Linked DNA regions of Arabidopsis thaliana. The protein of the gene in region 2 purifies or fractionates together with the protein of the main gene of each other region. This does not show direct contact. Each region holds a gene or a part of one and is shown on either strand. Other genes may lie near its edges.

The links.
Region 1: the proteins of BAM1 (region 2) and CPI1 purify together in Arabidopsis thaliana (affinity purification with western blotting, with the first as the bait; one study listed by BioGRID). This does not show direct contact.

Annotation. Positions count from the first base shown.
Region 1 is NC_003076.8:20,509,525-20,514,821, reverse strand, and holds CPI1 (cyclopropyl isomerase), read right to left. Parts: upstream 3,156-5,297; 5' UTR 2,967-3,155; coding exon 2,960-2,966; intron 2,875-2,959; coding exon 2,744-2,874; exon of another isoform or gene 2,494-2,743; coding exon 2,410-2,493; intron 2,259-2,409; coding exon 2,217-2,258; intron 2,067-2,216; coding exon 1,956-2,066; intron 1,868-1,955; coding exon 1,676-1,867; intron 1,473-1,675; coding exon 1,375-1,472; intron 1,069-1,374; coding exon 996-1,068; coding exon of another isoform or gene 891-995; exon of another isoform or gene 858-890; coding exon 741-857; 3' UTR 573-740; downstream 1-572. Other genes in the region: AT5G50370 (Adenylate kinase family protein), read left to right, coding at 4,191-4,311, 4,556-4,821, 4,909-5,076, 5,174-5,263. UniProt on the Arabidopsis thaliana protein: Converts pentacyclic cyclopropyl sterols to tetracyclic sterols.
Region 2 is NC_003076.8:26,279,869-26,286,133, reverse strand, and holds BAM1 (Leucine-rich receptor-like protein kinase family protein), read right to left. Parts: upstream 4,424-6,265; 5' UTR 4,309-4,423; coding exon 1,710-4,308; intron 1,602-1,709; coding exon 1,189-1,601; 3' UTR 1,169-1,188; exon of another isoform or gene 1,043-1,168; 3' UTR 721-1,042; downstream 1-720. UniProt on the Arabidopsis thaliana protein: Necessary for male gametophyte development, as well as ovule specification and function. Involved in cell-cell communication process required during early anther development, and regulating cell division and differentiation to organize cell layers.

The DNA.
Region 1 (5,297 bases), 5.8 Mb from region 2:
AAACCTGAGTTAGTATCAGTATGATTCTGATTCAGTGTTTTATGTTTTTTATATTTAAAAGTTGAAGGATGCTCCTATAATAGAATTGTTGTTGTATCTTGAAACAGGGTTATCTTATGTGAATGAGACTTAGATCTTATATTAAATCATTTTTAAACTCTTACACTCCAAAGACTCATTACAAACCACATTAAAACTATGACATATATGAACAAGTAAACTCTTACGGTTAGTAGTCGTATCTCCTTAATATTCTCAGATGCAAAGATTACAAAAACGGAGAGCAGTCTTGTTCTATCTCCCACTACTAACCGGTCTACGGACAAAGAACTGAGAACGTGTACTTGTTCAAGGAATCATGGATGGTCACAGGACCAGGTAATGTTGATCTTGGACCAGAGATTAGTGTTCTGATTGTGGTTGCAGTTATGCACTGCAACAGTCGTCCCATATAAGTTAGTGACTACAACAATGGAACAAATGCTACGGGGGAGGTTGCAGAAGTAAAGTAAGCCCTTAGCTACTTCATGTGATGAGACTTTACCATTTAATATCAAGTTTTGGTTCTTTCAATGGTGTTATGGTCTTTCTTGTTTTAATGAACTTAAGAGGACGAACCAATATATCGAGTCCACAACAAAAAACGAAGTTCCATTCTGTTCTATAAAGGATAACTTGAAAGGTTACATTGGGAAAGTTCATCAAGAGAAACTGAAAACCAAAAACAACTAACAAACAAATCAGCAGTTGGAGAAGAAAAGCCTTAGAAACATGCCCTGCATTAACTGCTTCCCAATTCCGTAAAGTGTTAATGGAAATTCCTTTGCAGGTTTCTCTCTCAGTCCCATGTCAATTCCCTGAATTGGTGGAAGTAACCGATCTTTCAATCTTCAATTGGAGAACCATGGTAATCCAGACTGAAGGCAGTTTTGTCCCTCCGGTAAGGGAACTATAGGTCCCAAGAAGAGACGCCATAGATCAAGAATGATTGTTACCAACATAGCAGCACCCAAAGCATCAACAGCCACTCGAGATAAATCCCATTCATCAGTTGATTTCTCATCCATCCTGCAAACAATGAATAAAACATATGAAAACAGATAGACAACAACTCGAGGTAATCAAATAGCAATAAGAAGGTGAGACGGAAGCATATCACAGAGACTGTTCAAAGAACTCCTCAAGACACTTGAGAAAGACCTGGTTCTCCATTTAAGTCTTTAATTCCTATATTTTAAGACTCTCAAGAAAATTCAATCAATTAATCCGGTGTATCTAACAACTATCACTTGTCTCAGTTTTGATATGCAACAGTCATGAAGGTGAAAAGATTCACTGCTTCTATGAGATGATAGAAAACTATGCTTTCTTTACCTGAAGAACATTGGGAAGCTCACAATGAAGTAAATGGCATAGAAAAGACATCCAACTCTGTACATGGCACTTCGGTCCACAAACTCATAGTAAGGAAACTGCACAAGTTTGAAAACAAAAACAGAACATATGAGCGGTTATTGTCAAGTGACTAGTTTCTAAACAAGATTCTAGAATGATTAAGTAGATAAACGTAGTCTTTAAGCAGACTATAAGAGGAATTTGTGATATATGATAAAACACCAAGTAGAGAGCTCTTTTTATAGGAAATTATCAAAGAAATGTAGACATCACAACGTACATTTGCGATAGCAATAGTCTCCAAGTATGCAATGAAATAAGAAAGCGCAAGTATCCATGCAGCCTCAAAACACCATTTCAGAGAATCTGGTAAATCAGCAGTGGAATGGCGTAGCCTCCGAAGAGTAATGTTCGATGCAACGTGGTAAAAGAGGAAGCAAACATGTGTTAGGAAGAATGTTGTGTGAGGCACCTGTTCAACACAAAACCCCTGCCATAAGCTCATGGAAACAAGAAAACTACTCAATAGAACAAATCTGCCGAGATAATGCTGTGCTTACATTATTCATTTTCCATGATGGAAAAGTATAGGACGCTCCAAGAACTTTAAAGAAATAGTGAGTCCAAAAGTAGTTTCCGACATAGCTGAAAACAATTATCCAGAGATTTGCCTGTGGTAAAAACATGTTCCAATCAGTACAACTATGGATGAGATCTTGAGAACTCTCACCAGTACTCAAGGAAGTTAAAACAAGTTCTAAAAATAGTTTGAAACTAGAACTGGCAAGCCAAAATGTCATGCACATAGAAAAAAAGCTTGCCTTAACCCAATAGCGGTCCTTCCAACATAAACTTCTGTCGGCCTGAAAGAATAATGCATATATTCTGAGTCCATATGGTAAGGAAAACAATAGAGATTTGCATTCAATTGGAAGCAAGTAGCTAGTAGACAAACAAGTATAGCACCACGAACACGTTAGCTCACAGTGAAAGCAAAAGTTGTCAAAAAGTAACCTTTCCAACGAGTAACATGGGTATAACGAAAGCAGGAACAGCTGAAACCAAAGCTAGAAGCAGATACTCCAACTCCGTGAATGTCTGCTAGTTTGCAAAGTAACTAACACTTATTAGTACTTCTTCAATACCACTTAAAAGACAACTTCATACAACAGTAAAATTTTCAGATCTCTAAAACACTGACATGGTAAACAATGAGACATCATTTCATAAACTTTGTTGATCTAATTTAGCAGATAAAAAAAAGTGAATAGCTACTTCAACTCTGTCTCATCGTCTCCTAAATACATCAGACACTTAAAAACAATGCTCATTTGATGATCGCATAGACCTCGTAAAGCTTGTAAGGAACAACGATGCCTAAACAGAGAGTGAGCCAAAAAGGAGTGTAGAAGAGGAAGAAGAGCTCTCCCCATCTCTTGCTCGGATTCGGTGCCAGCCACAAGCTCGGTGAAGAAGATCCTATCAAATGTAAATCAAAAAAATCAGGGAATGGGGACGAGAGATTCGAATCAGAAGAAGAAGAAGAGATCGGCGATAGTTTTACCTGACATAATCGCTCCGCCGGAGAATCTTAGAAACGTTGACTTGAGTAGTGTGAGTGAGTGAGCCGAGATTTTGTGTACGGGCGACCAAATAGATCCCAATCAAGCTGACGTGGCAGATGTACTCAGTGATGATGATTTTGACGAAAGCTAGATCCGCTCGCTCATCGTTCCTATTATTTTACCGTTTATTATGACATCACCTCTTTTTTCTACTTCTTTGTTGCTAAATTGTTATATTTGTTGTTCCCTTTTCCCAACATAAGAAGTGGGCCTATGTTAATTTAATTCTAAAATAATATGTAATCTAATTTTATTTTTTATTGTTAAATTTGATTTTAAAAAAATGTATATAGCAAATTGAAACTTTTGAGGTAAAGAGTTTATTTATATTTTTAGAATTTTCAAAAAGCAGATGTATGTGATCGTAAAAACGTTTACAATATATGTAAAGTTGGAAAAAAAAAAGCTTATATTATGTACTATTTTGAATTTTATAGTATTATTTTGCATTTTTTGGAAAACTCTTTTATTAATGTTAAGAATTTAGAAAAATACAAAAACTTATTAATAAATAAATATACAAAAATTATCAAGAAAGAAACTAATGATGTAGTATTCATTCATATCTTTAATAACCAAACATTGATGGAGTTTGGCTTTCAAAAAAAAAAAAGAAAAATGTGGGTTTTCAAGAGTTTAATTGTCTTATTGACGAAAAGTGAATGTGGTCTAGTGGTATACTGATATTCATAAGTCTACCATAAACTAGCAAAATCTTCAACCTCAGTACTTAATATCAAATTAAGTTTCTTAACACTAGTGTTAATTGGACAAATGACCGGTCCATCGTGCCTTAAAACCGAAAAAATGTGTTAGACTCTACTTATTCTATGTTTTCTAGTCCGCTTTTTTTGGTTCACTTGACCTAAAACATAATGGTTTGTTGGAAGTATTATATGATATTTGATTTTATGTAATTATGAAAAATGTGCGATATTAGATGTGTAAGAAGAAAGACTCGTTTTCAGAGTTGGGTGTGTCACCAACCCCAGGCAGGTTGTTGTTGTTCGAAGGGCAGGCCTTTGTAGTTGTTGGCACAGTTAAGGGTAAAATCGTAAAACGGTGAAAGAAAACATTGGAAGCATCGAATCCAATACACGCACTTCAAAAAGAGAACACAACTCCACCGGACCAAATCTAATTCTCTTGTAAGAGACGACGACGACGAACATGGCAACGAGCAGTGCGGCTTCTGTTGATATGGAAGATATTCAGACTGTTGATCTCATGTCTGAGCTTCTTCGCCGTATGAAATGTGCCTCTAAACCTGACAAACGTCTCGTTTTCATCGGTACAATCATCTCTTTCGTTACCTCTGAATCTTTCACTCAATCGGTACTTTAGGTTTGATCTCTGTGAAAATTGTGTAGCGAAAGTTCCGATTTTTATCTGTTTTAGTGTGTAAAAATTGCATTTTGCTGTTATCGTTAATGCTTTATCTGATGATCATAGCGAAGGGATTGTGAATTTGTGTTTTTTGGTTCAATAGAAAGGAAGAATTGAGTTTTGGTTCATGTATGATTTGGAATTTGCAGGTCCACCTGGTTCAGGGAAAGGTACACAGTCTCCGGTCATAAAGGATGAGTTTTGTTTGTGTCATTTGTCTACTGGTGACATGCTTAGAGCTGCTGTTGCTGCTAAGACTCCTCTTGGTGTGAAGGCAAAGGAAGCAATGGATAAGGGAGAGCTTGTTTCTGATGACTTGGTTGTTGGTATCATGGATGAAGCAATGAACAGACCCAAATGTCAGAAAGGTTTCATTCTTGATGGGTTCCCGCGGACTGTGACTCAAGCAGAGAAGGTTTCTGGTTCTTTTCTGTGGTTAGTTGTTTGTGTATCTGCTCGCTCTTGTAAATGTTCTGACTTTTTTTGTTTATAAATCTTGTAGCTTGATGAGATGCTTAATAGAAGGGGAGCTCAGATAGATAAGGTGCTTAATTTTGCGATCGATGATTCGGTTCTCGAAGAAAGAATTACTGGAAGGTGGATTCACCCTTCAAGTGGAAGAAGCTATCATACTAAATTCGCACCTCCTAAAGTTCCAGGAGTCGATGATGTAAGAAAAACCATCAAATTCTGATTCATCATTTTGACTTAGTAAATCGAGTTCTCTCTTGTGATTTGATCTCTGTATCAACTTCGTTGTTTGTTAGCTGACTGGAGAGCCATTGATTCAACGTAAAGATGACAATGCGGATGTTCTTAGATCAAGGCTAGATGCATTCCACAAGCAGACGCAACCGGTATGTTTCCTTATAGTACATGAACTTGAGGACT
Region 2 (6,265 bases):
TACGTTTATGAAAAAGATAAAATTGCAGTATCACTCGTCAAATTCTTGCTTGGAGTATAGTAATGAAAGAATCATAAACATAGCAACGGAATTTGCTAAGTGGATGACACTTTTTGGAAATGTCACTAACTTAGTGAGTGAACTAAATCACATTTTAGTGCAATATGTTATCATAGAGTTACGTGAGAATCCCTATCAAAGCTAACACTTAGCCCATGATCTAGTTAGGCTGTTATCTCCAAAATGTGAACAAACACGAAGATAGCTACAATTTTGTTTGTTTGGTCCAATTTTCTCATTAAAACCTAGACTTAGATCTACAATCATCATTGGAAACTACGTACAGCCAAATGAAAACCATATTAATGTAAGTTGGGTGTGGCTTATATTTATGAGTGATCGATGAAATCATAAATGCTTTACATAGAGTAGAAATTGCTTCATGAGCAGGGAATAGAGAAGAGATCTCATCAAAATCATTAAAGACTTAAAGACTTTGGTATATATTTTGCATGTGGGAGAAATATCACCTTATAGGCTTCTCATATTAACTCAAAACCAATCATTATCTCCCCACCACATTTATACCTTTGACCTCTCACATGCTTCCTCTTTAATTATTCTTCCAAGTTAACATTTTCACCAAACGCAAACGCAACCACAACTTTAACCGCTCTCAAACATCTTGTTGATGGAGATCAAATATAATTTCTGTTTGATGAAATTTCTTTCAGGTTATTGCAGGTGTTAGTAGCTACATTTGAATCTTTGTAACAAAGTCAAATACCTAAAAACAATAAAGAAGGTGATCGTTCATATCAGTTGCAGATGCGTGACTCTATAGCAAGACATGCAAGAGTGTTCACATTACACATTTCACTCTTTTCAAGATATTTTGAAATTCCTTCAAAAAAAAACCAACTGTACATTTTCATTAACACAAATTACAAACTAAATAAAGCCGAATACCGATTAAAAACATAAAAAAGGAAAATGAAACACACTTAAAAAGAGTTTAAACAACCTTCTTTCAAAAAAAAACCTACTAAACCGGACCAAAGCACAAACCGTACTAAGAGGGATTAAAGTAAATTAACAACCAAATCTCATCGCTAATAACATTTATGAAAAGACAAATTTACCCCTTATACCGGTACCCTAAATTAACCGCCGTGAATCAGAAAACTCTCATAGATTGAGTAGATCCGGCGGACTTTGAACACCAGACTTCGGCGAAAGCTCACTCTCCGGCGCTGATTCCGTCATCGGCTGATCCTTCGACGGTGGCAACTTCGGGATCTCAGTGAGAATCTGAACAACTTCTCTCATAGTCGGCCTCTCAACAGCTTGTTCTTCTACACAGAGCATCGCTACATAGAAGACGTGCGTCACTTCATGAATCGGAATCGAAGAAAGTCTCGGATCCAATACTTTCAGAACCGAATCCTTGTTCGAATCAGTCATTTTACGAACCCATTGCACTATATCGACACCGTCTCCAAATTCTCCGACAGGTTTTCTTCCGGTGACGAGTTCCAAAAGAACCACACCGAAACTATACACATCGCTCTTCTCATCTACCTTCAACGTATACGCATACTCTACACAAACACCAAAACAGAGCAAAAGATAGTAAAGTTAGAAACTTTAAAGAGAAAAACAGAGCAAGAGATTGTAAAGTTAGAAACTTTTTTTGAAGATTTTAGTACCTGGAGCTATGTAGCCGTAAGAGCCAGCGATTGCAGACATACATTCAGAAGTACCGGAATCTTGAAGGAATTTAGCGAGACCAAAGTCAGCAACATGAGCTTCAAAGTTTGAATCAAGGAGGATGTTGTTTGATTTGACATCTCTGTGAACGATCAATGGAGAACAATCGTGATGAAGGTAACAGAGTCCTTTAGCAGCTTCAAGAGCAATCTTGTAACGTGTGTCCCAATGCAAGTGTCCTCCTTTCTTACCGTGAAGCACCTCACCGAGACTACCATTAGGCATGTACTCATAGACAAGTAGATTCGTCTCGTGGTTTGAGCAAAATCCGAGAAGCCTCACTATGTGTCTGTGTCTTATCCTTCCTAAGGTTTGAATCTCTGCGTTGAAGCCGTGATCATGGGAAGATCCACGAGACATTGCAGCGAGTCTTTTAACCGCGACTAGATCACCATTAGGCATTACGCCTTTATAGACAATACCAGCTCCTCCTTTGCCTATAATGTTGTCTTCTTTGAGAGAATCCAAGACATCGTCACACGTGAAGTCTAGTCTCTGGAAAGCTGTTAACCTCCAAGCCCGTGACTCACTCGCCTTTTTCAATGATCTAGCTTTGATTATGGCTACTACCGCGAACGCAATCGAACAAACAAGTAGTCCAAGAACAAGCAATAACTTCATAGAAGCTGATAAAGGTCCTTTACTATGACTCTGGTGACCTCCTTTAGCAACACCGTCTTTACAAGGACCAAGATAAGGACCACAGAGATCAGGATTACCCAAGAACGATGTGTAGTTGAAGTAACTGAATTGTCCTGTTCCCGGAACTAAACCGGAGAGGTTGTTGTAAGAGAAATCAAGAGATGTTAAGCTCTGCATTGACGAGATTGAACCAGGGATTGATCCAACCAGATGGTTTCTCGACAGGTTCAAGTAATTCAATATCTTCATAGCAGTGATCTCATTTGGGATTTCACCGGAGAGCTCGTTTCTGCTCAGATCAACAAACGTTAAGAGCTTGCAACGACTAATCTCCGGCGCGATTCGACCGGAGAACAAGTTGTGGCTGAAATCAATCTTCGAGAGCTGCTGAAGCTTCCCTACCTCTGAAGGAATAGGACCTTGGAACTTGTTTCCATCAAGAAGAAGTTTCTGAACGCCGGTGAAGTTCCCGATCGCCGGAGGTAATGGACCTGAGAGCTGGTTGTTTGATAAACTGATCTGACCAAGATTAACAGAGACACCTCCGGCGACTGGTAACTCTCCGGAGAGATAATTATCTTGGAGCTCCACTTGAGTTAATTTGGGTAATCCGAATAGTCCTTTTGGGATTGACCCGTTCAGGAAATTCTCACCCATTCGGATCCGGGTCAAAGACTCACATTTACCAAGAGAATCAGGGATTGAACCAAAGAGAAAGTTTCCAAGAGTGATTAAAGTTTCTAACTTGTTACCGGAGCACATGTTCGGCGGTAAAGTTCCGGTCAGCTTATTGGAAGAGAGATCGACGAGATTTAGTTTACCGTTTTCTCCTAATTTCTGCGGGATGCTTCCGGTGAAATTGTTCTCCCAAAGCTGTAACACTTCAAGCTCCGGCAAATCTCCGATGAACTCCGGTATCTCGCCGTGAAGTTTGTTACGGAAGAGATTCAAAAGCGTGAGATTCTTCAACTCTGCGAAACTCGCTGGAATCTCTCCGGTGAACATGTTGTTAGACAAATCCATTGATTTTAAACTCGATAGCGTTCCTAGCTCCCAAGTTAATGGACCGGAGAAGACATTCACTTGCAAGAAAAGCGTATCGAGTTTCTGAAGCTTCCCAATCTCCGGCGGAATCTCACCGGTTAATCCGCAATTAGCTCCGTCGAATCTGACTAGCTCCGATAGATTTCCGATCTCTGGAGGAAGACCGTCTTCGAAAGCGTTGTAGTAGCCGATGTAAAGCTCCCGGAGAGTCGTTAGGTTTCCGATCTCTGGAGGGATTTTCCCGACAAGCTCGTTGCCGGAAACCGCTAGATACTCAATAACTGGCCAGCTTCCGTACGAAGGCGGGATCTTTCCAGCGAAGTAGTTACCACCGAGGTGAAGGTGCCGGAGCTGAGTCAGATTGGTGACGGAAACCGGTAAATCTCCGGTTAGATTGTTGTTGTAGACATCAAGAACTCGGAGATTCACCAATCCAGAAGAAATCTCATCGGGAAACGAACCGTTGAAGACATTGTTCGAGAGATTTAAGTGACGAAGACCGGAAAGGCTCGAGATTTCCGGCGGAATCGGACCGGAGATTAGATTTTCAGCGAGTGATAGATTCTGAAGAAGACGTAAATGAGAAACATCTGGGGAAAGAGTACCGGAGAGGTTGAGACCGGAGAGATCAAGAGAAGTCACGTGACGGCGAGATACATCGCACGTGACACCAATCCATGTACAGAAGCTTGTTGAGACTTTCCAGGAAGAGAGAGGCGAGTTTTTGTCATCTCCGGCGCCGGTGAGAGAGGTTTTGAGTGAGAGGAGAGCACGGAACTCGGAGATTGGTCGGCTTGCGGTGAAGGTATGAGAAATGTGGAGAAGAAAAAGAAGGAGAAGAAAAAGTTTCATTGTTTCTCTCTATCTCTCTTGTGTGGGAGAGATTAGGGTTGTGAGATGGTGTGAGTGTAGAGAGAAGGTAAGTGAAGACGAAGAAGAAGATGAGGAAGGTGTGAATTTGTTTTATATTCGTTCCACTTGTTTTTGGAATTGTATATAGGTGCCACGTCAGATTTGTGATTTTATTACATTACTAATCATAACACTAAAAAGTAATTGGAGGTAGACAAACACAAATTACAAAATCAATAATACTAGTGCTGATTTGATAAAACAATCAAGTGATAGATTGCAGAAGAAACGATATTTGATAAAACAGTAAAAATAGCCTGATACTAACATTTGAAATTCAAACATTTGCAGATAATTCTGATTCCAACACATCATATGCTTTGACGAAATGAATATTGTATTATTTAGAACTTTGTACGATGGAGAATATACTATTATTAGGGAAAGGTTCATTTATTTTGTTTTGGAGTCATGTTGTTCTTGAAACATTTGAATGGTGATGTTCTCAAGTATTGACAAATTTCCTTTAATTTCTCATTTCATATGACCACAATATACATTTTCTAAATAATCATGTGTAATGTACTAATAAATAGAGTAATTTTTGTTTTATTTTGAGAGACACAGGATAATTGTATGAGCATCCAACAAAATAAATGTAGAAAGATTAACTAAAATCCCTCAAAAGATACAAGAGGTCATATTCTTAATCGTATGGTTTTATCGGAAAACGACAAAAGCTAAAAAGATCGTTATTGGTAATCTAATCCTATACGTAATAAGTTAATTGATGCTTTAAAGCGAAAAAACCCAATAATTAATGTAGATGAACGGTCCAGATGCAATCATTCCAATGGATAGTCAAAAAGTTTACCACTGTGGAACCCACTCTTTAAAAGAGAGGTTTATGGTAATTGGGCCGTATGAATTGGGCCCATGTGTCTGTAAATAAAATAGTGAATTATTATGTTTTTTTTGTACTTGTGCCTTTTTGCATTAACAATGCCACAATGGGGTCGTATTTATTTGATTTGGTCGATATATCAAAGAAAAAAATCAAATGAATTAATTTCACTTTCCAATATATATATACGAATCCAGACGACATATAAAAAATTCATTTCTGGAAACATAATAATATTTCTAATACAAAAACCAGCAAAATCTGTTGAGAAGAGCAAAATATAAAAGTTAGAAAAGCAACATGAAAGTAAAAAAATATTTAGACTTCCTTCTTTTTGTATAGTGTGAATTGACTTTAATTAATAAAAAAAAGTGAAAAAGAAAATTAAAAGAGATTGAAAATGATTGATAATTATTAGAAAAAGTTATAATTTTGCTGGTGGTAGGAAATTAACCGAAAGTTTTGGTCAAATATTTATTTTGACTGAATACATTCTTGACCATGGAACATCTACGTAATTACATCTTTTACCACTAAGGAGCTCTTTGGACTTGAATGGACTGCTCGTTCGGTTGCTATGAATTGACCAAATCAGCCTTCGAGTCCAAACCAGAGATTGTCGGTTTTGGGATAAGTATCGAAAAGACGAAAACACCCTCTAGCTCGTTGTTATTAATGCAGCCGTCTGGACAGAGGAGACTGGGGGCATGATCGTAATCGTGTGTCCAGCTAACGAGGTTTCTTTGCCGGTTGCTACAGTTCACTGTCACTGATCTATCTATAATCATTTCTGCATTCTCGTTTCATCTATAAGTATTTGTATATATGTAAATATTAAAATACTAGTCACAAATTTATATGAATTTAACCATACAATTGTTTTGTAATCTTCTTTTTAGACTTTGATAGGGAGAATAATCAACCTTCTTAAGCAAAATATCATACTCAAACAATGTATTTTTATTAGATAAATTCAAATAAATTTCGAAAAATTATTGAGCAAGAATTATTGACAATCTGATTTGGTAAGCACGTGTGAAGGGAGCTTTATGT